Pelodiscus sinensis: one gene and its partners. The protein of the gene in region 2 purifies or fractionates together with the protein of the main gene of each other region. This does not show direct contact. Links are inferred from orthologs where the notes say so. Each region holds a gene or a part of one and is shown on either strand. Other genes may lie near its edges.

Region 1 (3,745 bases), on a different chromosome or scaffold from region 2:
GGGGGGGGCAGGCCAGCAACCAGTATGAGAGGCAGTAGTGCAGGATGCCAGATGGGACCAGTCCACAAGGGGAACCAATTTAAAAACCAGCTCCCCTCGCAGACTGGCTGTCTGCCACCCCGCATTGCGGCCTCTGATGCAGAGGCAGCAGCATAGGATGACATCAACCATTGTCCTTAGGAGGTACAAGCTTCCTGCAGAGAGAGGATGTTGGGGGGGAAGGGGCTGGGGGAGGCTGCCTCGGCCCCATACCTTGTACCCCCTGTGCAAGCTTCTGTCTGCAGTGAGCCTGGGCCCACCGGGGACAGAGGCTGTTGCCACGAAGCAGCCTCTATCCACTGCAGGCAAAGGCTGCTTTGTGGCAGCCTCCCTGCCACCCTTCCCCAGGCTTCCCCCCATGCAGCTACCTCTATTAGAGGAAGTGGTGCGGGAGAGGGGCAGGCGTCATCGCAAAGCCGGTGCTGGGGAACCAGATTTTATGATGACTCCCCCAGCACCAGCTCCTACTTCCCCCTCCCTTGCTGCCTCTGATACAGAAACAGCAGGGGTGGGGAGGGAAATGCAAGTAGTCGAGAAGATTAACCAATAAGCCTAAGTTCATTGGTTAATCATCTACTCAACTACTCGTTCACATCCCTAATACATAAAACGTTTGTGTGCATATGCACACCTTCTTTGTATGCATATGTGTGTGTGTGTGTGCGTGTGTGCGCGCGCACACAGAGGAAAGCTGAAAGCTTTTTTTGTCTCCCTTCTATCTGTGACTCGCAACTTCATATTCAACAATAGAGAGTAAAAGCACACAAAAGGCCAGATTTTAAGGAAGGACACCAGATTTCACAGTCCATCATGCATTTTCCACGATTTGGTAGGGCTCTAGCAATAACCCTAAAGTAGACAAGGCTCCCACAGTTTCTGGCAAAGATTTGTTTGCTAATAGAATCAGCAGGGGGGGGGAAACTGCCACATAGCCCGTAGTGCCCATTTACTGAGCATATGTGTCATACTTCAAATCAAGTGGAATACTCTCACAAAGGGCCTATCTTCACTACCAAATTTGAGGAAGGTTTAACAGGATTGTAAAGAAACCAGTTACCTGACACAGTACTGACCATAATTTGTCCTGGTTTACAACCAGCATAATATCATAATTCACACTGTGACAACTAACTGAACTCTTCACTGACATTTTTAAATACAGTTAAGGGTAGTTCGCGGGGCGGGGGGGTTGGTTTTGGGGTTTTTTTAAAATGAATATCAGCTCTGAAATTGTTTTTTAGGTCTATGGAAATTTGTTTAAAATAATGTATCAACTTGATGTGGTATTGGAGCTGTTTTGGTGCCAGACTATTAAAAGACAAGGAGGCTAAGGTAGCATATTTTCTTGAACCAGCTTGTGGTGGTGAAAGAGACAAGCTTGCAAGAAAAGCTCCATGTAAGTTTTAAAGTTTCTCTCTCTCTCTTTCCAACAGAAAATGGTCCAATAAAATATATGACCTTCTCCACTTTGTATCTTTATCACTGACATCTACTTACTTTTTAAAAGTTGTCACTTACAAAGATTACATTTGCCCTTAGACTACTCTGCCAATTACACCATTTTAAATAACATTTTCTTATTTTCAAAAATATGTTTCTCTTCTTTATTACATGAAAGACCCACACATAGAACAAGGGATTTTGCCTAGGTAGGCCAACAGACTCTTTATTGGTGAACTCCTGACCCCATGTACACTCAGTTACAAGACGGGAAGGAGCTGGTATTTCACAGGATGAAACTATGGAACCAACTGTATAAAATGCTGTCAAAGGGAGAGTAAACCTGAGGGCACGTCTAGCCTGTGGCTTCCGAAAGATGATGTTCATTTTCGGCTCGAATTTGCATATCTTCTTCCGGTTTTTTTTCCCCCCAGAAGAAGCTTTTCCGATATTTGGCCCGTCTACACAGGGCCAAATATCGGGGGGGGGGGGGAGAGAAACCCTCTTATTCCTCCTCTTGAGAGACCTGCCCCCTCTAATGTTTTAACTTTGAAGAACAGCAAGTGACTTTCTTCGCAAAGAGCAGCAGGATTTTTCTTAAAGCTCAGAGACCCCTTTACACCGCTGAAGGCTTTCGACGTTACACCGGACTTGGACAGACCCAGGCTGCGCCGGGGCTCACCCAGCGTTTCAGGGCGACAACACCACGAGGCGGGAGCTGGTGACCGGGGCTGCCGCGGTGGAGCCGGCAACACACAAAGCGCTTCGGGGGGGGGGGGGGCGGACAACGTGCAGCACCTGAGGGCGGGGGAAGCGGTTTGCGGGGGGGGGGGCAGCGAAGCGCGGCTCCAGAGCGCAGGGCAGCGCGCGCACAAGACCTGCGGCGCGAGGGTGTCTCGGGGCCCCGGCGGGGGGGGGACACTGGCCAGGCCCCGCCCCTCTGGCCGGGCGCTCCGGATACTTACACAGCCCGCTGGAGCCGGTGCCGGGGAACATGGTCCCCGAGGGTGCGGGGGGTGTCGCCGCCCGGGAGTCTCCCGAGAAGCCCCCGGAGCAGCCCCAGGAGCCTCGGCGGGGCCCAGGGACGAGCTGTAAGGCGGCCGGGATGGGCCAAACAGGACTTCGGCGAGGCCCCGGCGCCCCCTACCGGCGGCGCCGCCGCCCTGCAGGCCGCCCGAGGCAGCGCCCTTCGCTGCCGAAACGCCCCTGCCCGGGCGGACACGGCGCCCGGCTTCTGGGGGGAGGTTCCTCGCTGCCTCCCCCGCCCCCGGGCGCGCACAGCCCTGCTGGGCTGCAGTGAGTGTGTTAGACCACAGCATTGTACCCGGGCTTCATAAAGTGACTAAAGCGCCGCACCGCTCCTCGTTTTGAAAGGTAAAAGACTCACACAGCTCCCCCCTCGCAGAGTTCTGGTCTGTGTCCAGGCTCCCCGTTATAATCAACATACAAGTCAAATCTTGGACCTATCAGCCTTGACACCCTTTTCATAGTATTTTAAGCCAGGAAAAAAAATGTTTCCCAATTGGCTTTGAAAAATGAGGACAAACATGATAATGTAGACCTAAGTAGAAATCTTTTTTTGTTGTTGGTAGAAGCTGATGTACTGAGCCAAATCTGTTACTTCCCTAAGGGACACAAACACTCTGATGAAGTTGTTTGCTAAACACACTACAAAATGCAGTTGTCCTTGCTGTGAATGAAGTTGCCAAGTGGTTGTGGAAATACTAATGTCAGAATAGACCTACGTAATTCTTTAACATAAAGAGGTTTTTGTAACTGGATGGCTTCTAGGAAACTTTTCTATTGGTCATTCTATGTACTATAATTATCGAAAGCTCAAATGTAAGTTTTATTTGCCAGGGCTGCAAATAAAAACGTGCAGTTAATTACAGCGCAGATTTCTAGGCTTGAGCTGTAAGTTAAGTTCTGGGCTCTCTTCCCACCTTTCAGTTCTAGAAGCTACAAAGTGAGCAAGTCAAAAGAAACTTTTCTTTCACCAAACAATCACTTCAAGAGTTTGGATGGAAACGGGCAGCCCTAGACTAGCTGCCAGCACCTGGCACCTTAGGCAAACCATGCAATCAGCACCCCCACCTCCAAACCCTTCAATGATATTGCGCCACCATTTGGCACCCCATTTAACTTGGTGCCTGAGGCGACTGCCTAGTTTGCCTATATCAGTGGTCCCCAGCCTTTTGGGGCTGCTGGGTGCCCGAGGACAGAGCCACCCATGTGCCTGGGGGCAGGGCCTCCCAAGCGCCACGTG
Region 2 (3,745 bases):
GTGATTTTAACTCCTTATTTATTTATTTATAAACTGAAATCTGCCAAACTGATCACCATACAGAGAAAACTGCCGCAAGAGAACAGGTGCTCTATGAACAGTAGCAAATGGTTTCCAGACTGCATCTCACAATGTGACTCAATCCTGACCTGTAGGGACCAGTTCTAAAGACAAAGTGAATTACATTCCTGTAGACTGTACATACTGTTTGTCCACTCTGCTGACGCTAGCAACACAGAACTCTAACTGGGGCAGCAATTTTTGTAGTGTAGATGCTAGATATGTAAAATCCCATTAAATGACAACCACTTAAAAGTTAAGTTTAACCAGTTAACTGATTAAATGGCATTGAGTGGCTGGACTGGAGTGACCACCACGCCATGGGCAGGGCTACTGCAGCCTGGCTTCTTCCAAGCCCACACTGGGCTGCCGGCTCCCAACCTGCACAGGCTTAAAAGCAACAAGGAGTGGGCAGCTGCCCACCTGGGAGTCAGCAGCTTCGCACAGGGTCAGACTCTAGCTTCCGCTTTGAAATGCACAAGAGCCCCTGCTGCATTTCAAAGGCAGAACGCAGAAGTGCTTATCAACTAGTCGATGGAAATTCCATTGACTACATGACTAGCAAATTAATTGCTACTTAACAACCCTAGTTCTTTCTCCTCTCCAGCATGAGGCATGACAGTGCAGGGAAGTACTTGCCTGCATCCTCCACACGTTGTCCTCATTGGCCATGATTCCCAGTCAATGGGAGCAGCACGGGGTGCAGCTCCACCTGTGCCCACATGGGAGCTGCACCGGGTAAGGACCCCCAACCCCTCTCTCGCACTCTTCTTCCCACTCAGATCTCGGAACCTCACCCTATCTCTTGCCAAGACCCCTCACTCCCATTCCGCTCCTGCACCCTCAGTTCCAAGAATGAAAGAGATGGTTATTGCTTTCTCTTCCTGCTTCTCAGTTGGTGGCCACATCAACAAGTGGGTTTTTTTCCTTCTTATTGGTGTGTGACCACCAACTGATTTTTTTTCTGTGGATCAATGGCCTCCAACCCAAAAAAGGATCCTCACTGGCTTTAAACTAAAATCTCCCACTGCAAACTTGCACTTACTTAAGATGCAATTTACACTTTCTTACCCATCACTTCTGGCACAGACAGTTTAAGTTCTGGTGTAAATCTTAGACTGGCCAGAAACAGATATAGCGGACTTCTGTCTAACCTCTAAAATTAAATCTTGGAAGTCAGACTCAGACCACACAATTCATTTCAGACAAACTAATGACCAGCCTCATCACACATTAGCAGCTATCAGTCACTGTATATCAGGGATGTAAGTGTAGCTGTTTAATCAGGCAACTGATAAACTCATGCTTACTGATTACTCAGATGGCTATAGGCTACATTCATCTACCAGGGAACTGCCTGCCACTCAACATGTAAATTTTCAGCAGTTCCAGAGTCAATTAATTACACACATTTTAACATCCCTACTGCCTACCTAGTTCGGATTCAATCCAGTGGCCAGCTCCACTATGTGAACTACAGCAGGAGGAGCTTGAACCATGTCTGTACTATTTACACAAGGGTCTGTTAGTTTGTGGGAGAAAAAAACAATTTTCTCAGGCAACCCTGTTATCCCCAGAGGAAGATGGCAGCCAAATCAGCTGCTTTGCTTCATTGGATAACAGGGGTCCTTCCCAAGGAAGTAGGCCTGGCTGGTCCCTGGGCATCAGGGAAATCACACCAGCTGGATCCATAGGTCACCCTCTCCCCCCAATATCACTCATTGAACACTTAGCCTCTCACCCAGCTCAGCTACATACTCCCAGCCCCTCCAGGACCACTAGCCCAGCTACCTGCCCTACAGCCCCCTCACCCGACCCGTGGTCCCTTTACCTCCAGTCCTGTCCCAGCCTCACTACCCACCCCAGGGCCCCACTCCTATCCCCCCACTCCCCACCCCAGGGCCCCTCTCCCCCTATACTCCTCCCCCCTTGCACATCCAAGGGCGCCCTCACCCCCACTGCCCACCCCAGGGCCCCTCTCCTCCCTACTCCTCTCCCCCCTACTGCCCACCCCAGGGCCCCTCTCCCTCTATACTCCTCCCCCCCCCTACTGCCCACCCCAGGGCCCCTCTCCCCCTATACTCCTCCCCCCTTGCACATCCAAGGACCCCCTCACCCCCACTGCCCACCCCAGGGCCCCTCTCCTCCCTACTCCTCTCCCCCCTACTGCCCACCCCAGGGCCCCTCTCCCCCTATACTCCTCCCCCCCCTACTGCCCACCCCAGGGCCCCTCTCCCCCTATACTCCTCCCCCCTTGCACATCGAAGGGCCCCCCACCCCCCTGTTGCTGCCCCCCGGCCCGCCGCTCACCCAGACGCAGAGGCTGTCCGACAGCAGGTAGTAGGCGATGTCTAGAGGCCCAGGCCCGGGCCCGGCTCCAGGCGCGCTCTCCGCGGCGGGCGGCGGCTCCGGCTGCCCGGCGGGGCCCTGGCTCAGGGCGCGGTAGGCGGTGAGGACGCTGCCCAGCAGCGCCAGCGCGCTCAGCCCCGTGTAGGTGCGGAGGCTGGGCCAGGGGAAGCGCTCCAGGAACAGCAGCGGCATCGCGGCCTCGGGGCCCGGCCCAGTCCGCCCCGCGCCTCCTCTCCGCGGCCTAACGCTCCCCGCGGCCGCCGGCTGCCGAGCGCACTGCCGCGGCGGGCCCCTCCTTCCGCCCTGCCGGCCCGGCCGAGCGCCTCCCCCGGGCCTGGCCGCCGCTCGCTCAGCGTCGCGCGCGGGGCTCGGGCCGGGCGGCTGAGGGGACGGGCCGGCGGGGCCTGCGGAGCTGCGCGGCCGAGGGGCCGGGCCAGTGGAGTAAATCGCCTCTGCCCCTCTCCACACGCGCCTTGTGCGCTACGCGGGAGTGTGGGAGCCGCAGACCGAAGTAAATCCCGGGGGGGGGCAGCTTTCCCACCGGCTTTGTCACAGTAAACAAGCCGCTCCGCAGAAGACCCCGCACATGGGACTAGATTCCCAACCCCTTAGTCCGGGACTGCGGGCCCCCAGCGAACCCGCGCGGCCCCCTTGTCCCCCACAAAACAAGCTGCAAGCGAAAGCCTGCCCTACACGCAACTCGCGGGGCAGTGAAGCCAGGAAACAAGCCCCCCTGATGCGGTGTTTTATGCCAATTGCCAACTTTGATTAATACAAACCACTGGGATTAGAGGGCTGAGATGTAAGTAATGATTGAACAGCCTTGACGGGGGCCATCCCTGTGTTTTTCCCCAGGGAACTTGAAGGAAACAATGAGGATGTGAGCGGTAGGGCTTGCCTACGTTGGCAAATTTTGTGGTGTTAAAATGTCGTTTGTCAACAAAAGCGTGTGGGTATGTATGCTACAACACAAGTTTCGACACAAAAAGCCAGCTGTTTTCTTCAACAAAAAACTTCCAGTTCCACAAAGGACTTTTCTTTTCTCCTTGCTGTGTTTTCAATAAATATTCAATGTAGACATCTCAAGGTCGTGGGTTCGTTTTTCCTTATTCTAGCCTCCAGTAAGTGTCCCACAATTCCCAATCAGCTGTTCCCGTCAGCGGTTTTCACTCTGCTGCCTGCAGACAGGTGACCAGCCACCCACCTCACGCAAGCCCAAATTTAAATCCCTTTTGCTGCAGCATGAACACCTGGAACCACACCCCATCCACCCTGCACTGGCTCTACAGGCATCTCATGACATCTTCCCCAGTGCCCATGGCTAGCCATCGCACCA
Region 3 (3,745 bases), on a different chromosome or scaffold from region 2:
CCGGCCCTGGCCTGACATGCTGGAGTTGAGAGGCACAGAAGGGGGTAAAAATTGTACCTGGATGTGGTCCTCTGTCTTAAGTGTACACATAGAAAGAGTAAGCTGTTACTTGGTACCATTATTTCTATTTTTCTATCTTTATCTTCTTTGTAACCATTTTTAAGATCTATATTTTGCTAGTAGTTAAGAAATAGAACAATAGCCATTGCAACCATATGATTTATAAGTTTCTTTAATAAACCTGTAACTGTTTAAGTTTTAACCTGACTCCTTAAGTTGCTGTAACAGAACCAGGCACAATTTAAAAGAACTTCAGCCGGTCTTAAGGGACAGACCGTTGGCTGACAAAGCCTCAGAAGCGCGGGGAACCCGCCCGGTGCCCCTGGTCTGCTGGAGACGGTCTCCAGCAGACCAGGGGCACCGGAGCAGCTTATGAACAGGGCTTTCTCGCCCCGGAGCTCGCAGGTAGCAATCCGCCACCTCGACCTCCAGGGCGAGAAAGCCCCGTTCGTAAGTGCGGATCCGACGTAAGTCGGGGACTGCCTGTATTAGAGAAAACTCCCTTGAGCTTTTGTGTTATGGGACTGTTCTTTTTTTGCCATTGTAAAAAATATAGTAGGCACAATCTACCCTTCTCTCAGACAGGCACAAACTGGCTAAGATTTGGCCTTGTTTACTTTGGAAAAAAAACTGGACTTTGATCAGGAAATACAGCGCAAGCTCTTGGCAGGAAGGAATAGGCAAGAGTCTAAACGTGCAATCTGAATGAGGCCAGCAAGGCAATGTACTTCTAAATAGTCATTTCACGGAACCCAAACTAGAGATGTAAGAGAGTTGTCGATTACTCGCATTTTCACCCCCCTTGCTGCCTCTATCAGGGGAGGGGGAAGAGGCAGCAGCTGGTGTGAGAGGCGGGGAGGGGAGGCAGAGGTGCAGCAGAATTGCAGTTCTGCCTTTTAAATGTAGTAAGAGTCCCTAACCAAAACTAAGTTTTCCAGCACGTAGATTCTAGCAGGATAAGAAAATAAACTTTCCCTTTGGTGCCCACAGTTGCCCAAGTGCAGAGCAGATTTCTCCATGTCCCTTATTCAGCCCAGGTGATTAAACATCCTTCACCTGGACCAAGCTACACACTTCCTAGAACAATCTGTGTCCAGCTAGTCACTCTTTCCCAACTAAAGGCTACAGTCATGACTAGCTTAGTACAAATCAGGAAAGAGATATGAGATCCAAGGGCCCCTATAAGAAATGGCTGAGAACCAAAGCTTCCCACTTGTGAGTGTGTAGGGCAGGCAAGGGAGAAATTAGTCGTTTATTCCTGCAGAGTCTGTGCTTTCCCTTGGTTTGAAAAAGTGACATTTCTAGTGGCCAAGATTGCAAAGACAAGCCAGGTATAATCCAGAGTCTTGTCTTCCTGTTTCTGCAGACAAAGAAGCATTAAGGCGTCTGCAGCTGCTGCTCAGAAATTGCCAAGGGCAGCAGAATCAAGTTAGCAAGTTTCTGGGTAAGTCTCCCTGCAGACGGACGCTCAGAAGTGTGAACAGCATCGGAATTATTCACTGGGTAAGAGAGTCCAAACCCACCGTGACTAAGGGACAGGGCAGAAGGGGTCTGTGTCCACCAAGCCCACGACTAATCTAGGAGGATATCAAGAAACTGGTGTAATAACTAACCGCCTCTCAGCAAGCGCCAACAGACCATTTCCCGTTCACCTTGCAGACATTAAGGCTCCTACTAGTAACAGGCAGGCACTCTCCCGCCGCCAGACTCCCCACCAAAATCAAGTGTCCCAAGGAGACACCGCTGCAGCTTCCTAAGCGCTGACTTGGCAGCCAGGAGCACGGACTGCGGCTCCCGTCACCCCCACACACAGACACTTCCCCACGCGCGGAACAAGCGGGCCCCTCCCCCCCACACACACTCCCCACGCGCGGAACAAGCGGGCCCCTCCCCCCACACTCCCCACGCGCGCGCGCAGCCGGGAGTCTCGCCACGAGACCTGTGGGAGCACCAGGCCCGCGCCCCGCCGCATTCCCCGGCTCGGGGGGGGGGAGGGGGAGTCTGAGGGCAGCGCCCCGGGCCGCAGCGAGGGCCCCCCCCCAGCCGGCGTGACGGGAGGAGGAGGGGGAGGGGGAGGGGGAAGGGGAGGTCTCCGCTGCGCCCCCAGTACCTGCTCAGCGCCGCCCCTCACGAGCCACCGAATACATCACTCCCACGCATGCGCAGCCACGCCCGGCTACTTCCGCCTCCCCCAGCCAATCACCGAACAGAATCACAGCGCCCCCTGGGACGGTAAAGCAGCGAGGGCAAAATACCTCTCGTCCCGGACCGCGTCGTGCAGCACCGCTCCCTGGCCGAATCCGACCCGGGGACGGGCGGTGTAGCGGGGCGGGGCTCAGCAGAGGGGTGTGTGTGACGTATGGGGGCGGGGCTCGGCGCTGGGCAGGGTTCAGGGCCAGAGTAGCATTGTGCAGTGTCACAAGGGGGAACCAGGCTGAATGGGGGGGGCACTGGGTGGTGTCAGTGTGTGGGGGGGGCCCCAAACCCCCATCTGCAGCCAGCACTGACCGCCAGCCAGCAGGCAGAACAGAGCCCCGTCTCTGCCCCCCCACTTAAAACACCCCAAAGCCTGCTCCAGCCCTTCTGCAGCCTTAGTCCTGCTTACAGGACACCCCCACCGAGGCTCAGGGTACAGAAAGCATCATCCATTGTGTACCTGCAGGAGACCGACACTGAAATTCCCATCAGCATCTCACTCCTGGTGAAGTGCCTAGGGAAACTAAGGCACATGCACTGGGTTACTACCCAGTAATAGAGATAACATAACATAGTAGTAGAGATAACAATAACATAGCAAACACAGTCCCCCACTTTGTCGCATCTCTTCTCCCTTCGAGACCAAACGGAGCAGGGGCACTGAGCCAGTGGCCTGGGGAAGTTCGGGGCCCCTGCTCTGTGATAAAGCATTGGCTATGACATTAGCACTCCCCTTAACATGGACCACCTCTGTGTCATGATTCTGCAGGAGCAGACTCCATAGCAGCAGCTTGGTATTCGCCCTTTCATTTGGTCAGGGGAGAGTGGTCCGTGTACACCTTGAAATGCCACCCAAATAGATATGGCTGCAGTTTTCTAAGAGCCCACACCCTAGACAGGCATTCCTTCACTATGAGTACACAGTTCTGTTTGCAAGGCAGCAACCTCTTGCTCAAGTACACAATAGGGCATCTCTTCCTTTTTTTGTCCACCTGCATTAGCATCACACCCAGCCACCAGAGGCATGGGTAAACACCATAAAGGGCTTGTCAAAGTCTGGATTTACCAGTACTGGAGCCCCAACCAAGGTCTCACAGGGAGTCTATTACACAGCAGAGGGCACTACTGCAAGTCTAGTTAAATAGGTATTTTAATACAGTCCCAACCAAGTGAGCACATGACACCTCCACAATAATTAGAGGAATGTATATTCACAAACAAATAGCATCCCTACAATTATCAGCTGTTGGAATAACCTATAAACAAGGCTCTGTCCCTATTGTTTCTGGGTAACTGTAAATTGACCATCTCCTAACCTAACTTCATACAACCTGACATCCACCCAGAAATATTCTGGGTTGAAACTGCCTGATCCTTAGATCTTTCAGCAATAAAAGCAAACAGCCAAGGGGATAACCTGAATTCGTATTCCATGGTCAGAAGGGACCTTTATGGCCATCTCCTTAGACTGCCTATTGCAGGCCAGGTG

The links. Proteins that work in one complex are often made in the same cells at the same time.
Region 1: the proteins of AMFR (region 2) and UBAC2 purify together in Homo sapiens (affinity purification with western blotting; 4 studies listed by BioGRID and IntAct, with this or other methods). This does not show direct contact. The link is inferred for Pelodiscus sinensis from reciprocal best matches to the Homo sapiens genes AMFR and UBAC2.
Region 3: the proteins of AMFR (region 2) and ERLIN1 purify together in Homo sapiens (affinity purification with mass spectrometry; 3 studies listed by BioGRID and IntAct, with this or other methods). This does not show direct contact. The link is inferred for Pelodiscus sinensis from reciprocal best matches to the Homo sapiens genes AMFR and ERLIN1.

The regions. Positions count from the first base shown.
Region 1 is NC_134711.1:249,005,565-249,009,309, forward strand, and holds the start of UBAC2 (ubiquitin-associated domain-containing protein 2), read right to left. Parts: upstream 2,579-3,745; 5' UTR 2,476-2,578; coding exon 2,445-2,475; intron 1-2,444. UniProt on the Homo sapiens protein: Restricts trafficking of FAF2 from the endoplasmic reticulum to lipid droplets.
Region 2 is NC_134722.1:44,145,107-44,148,851, reverse strand, and holds the start of AMFR (E3 ubiquitin-protein ligase AMFR), read right to left. Parts: upstream 2,743-3,745; 5' UTR 2,602-2,742; coding exon 2,371-2,601; intron 1-2,370. UniProt on the Homo sapiens protein: E3 ubiquitin-protein ligase that mediates the polyubiquitination of lysine and cysteine residues on target proteins, such as CD3D, CYP3A4, CFTR, INSIG1, SOAT2/ACAT2 and APOB for proteasomal degradation.
Region 3 is NC_134718.1:7,018,522-7,022,266, forward strand, and holds the start of ERLIN1 (erlin-1), read right to left. Parts: upstream 2,304-3,745; 5' UTR 2,171-2,303; intron 2,097-2,170; exon of another isoform or gene 2,000-2,096; intron 1-1,999. UniProt on the Homo sapiens protein: Component of the ERLIN1/ERLIN2 complex which mediates the endoplasmic reticulum-associated degradation (ERAD) of inositol 1,4,5-trisphosphate receptors (IP3Rs).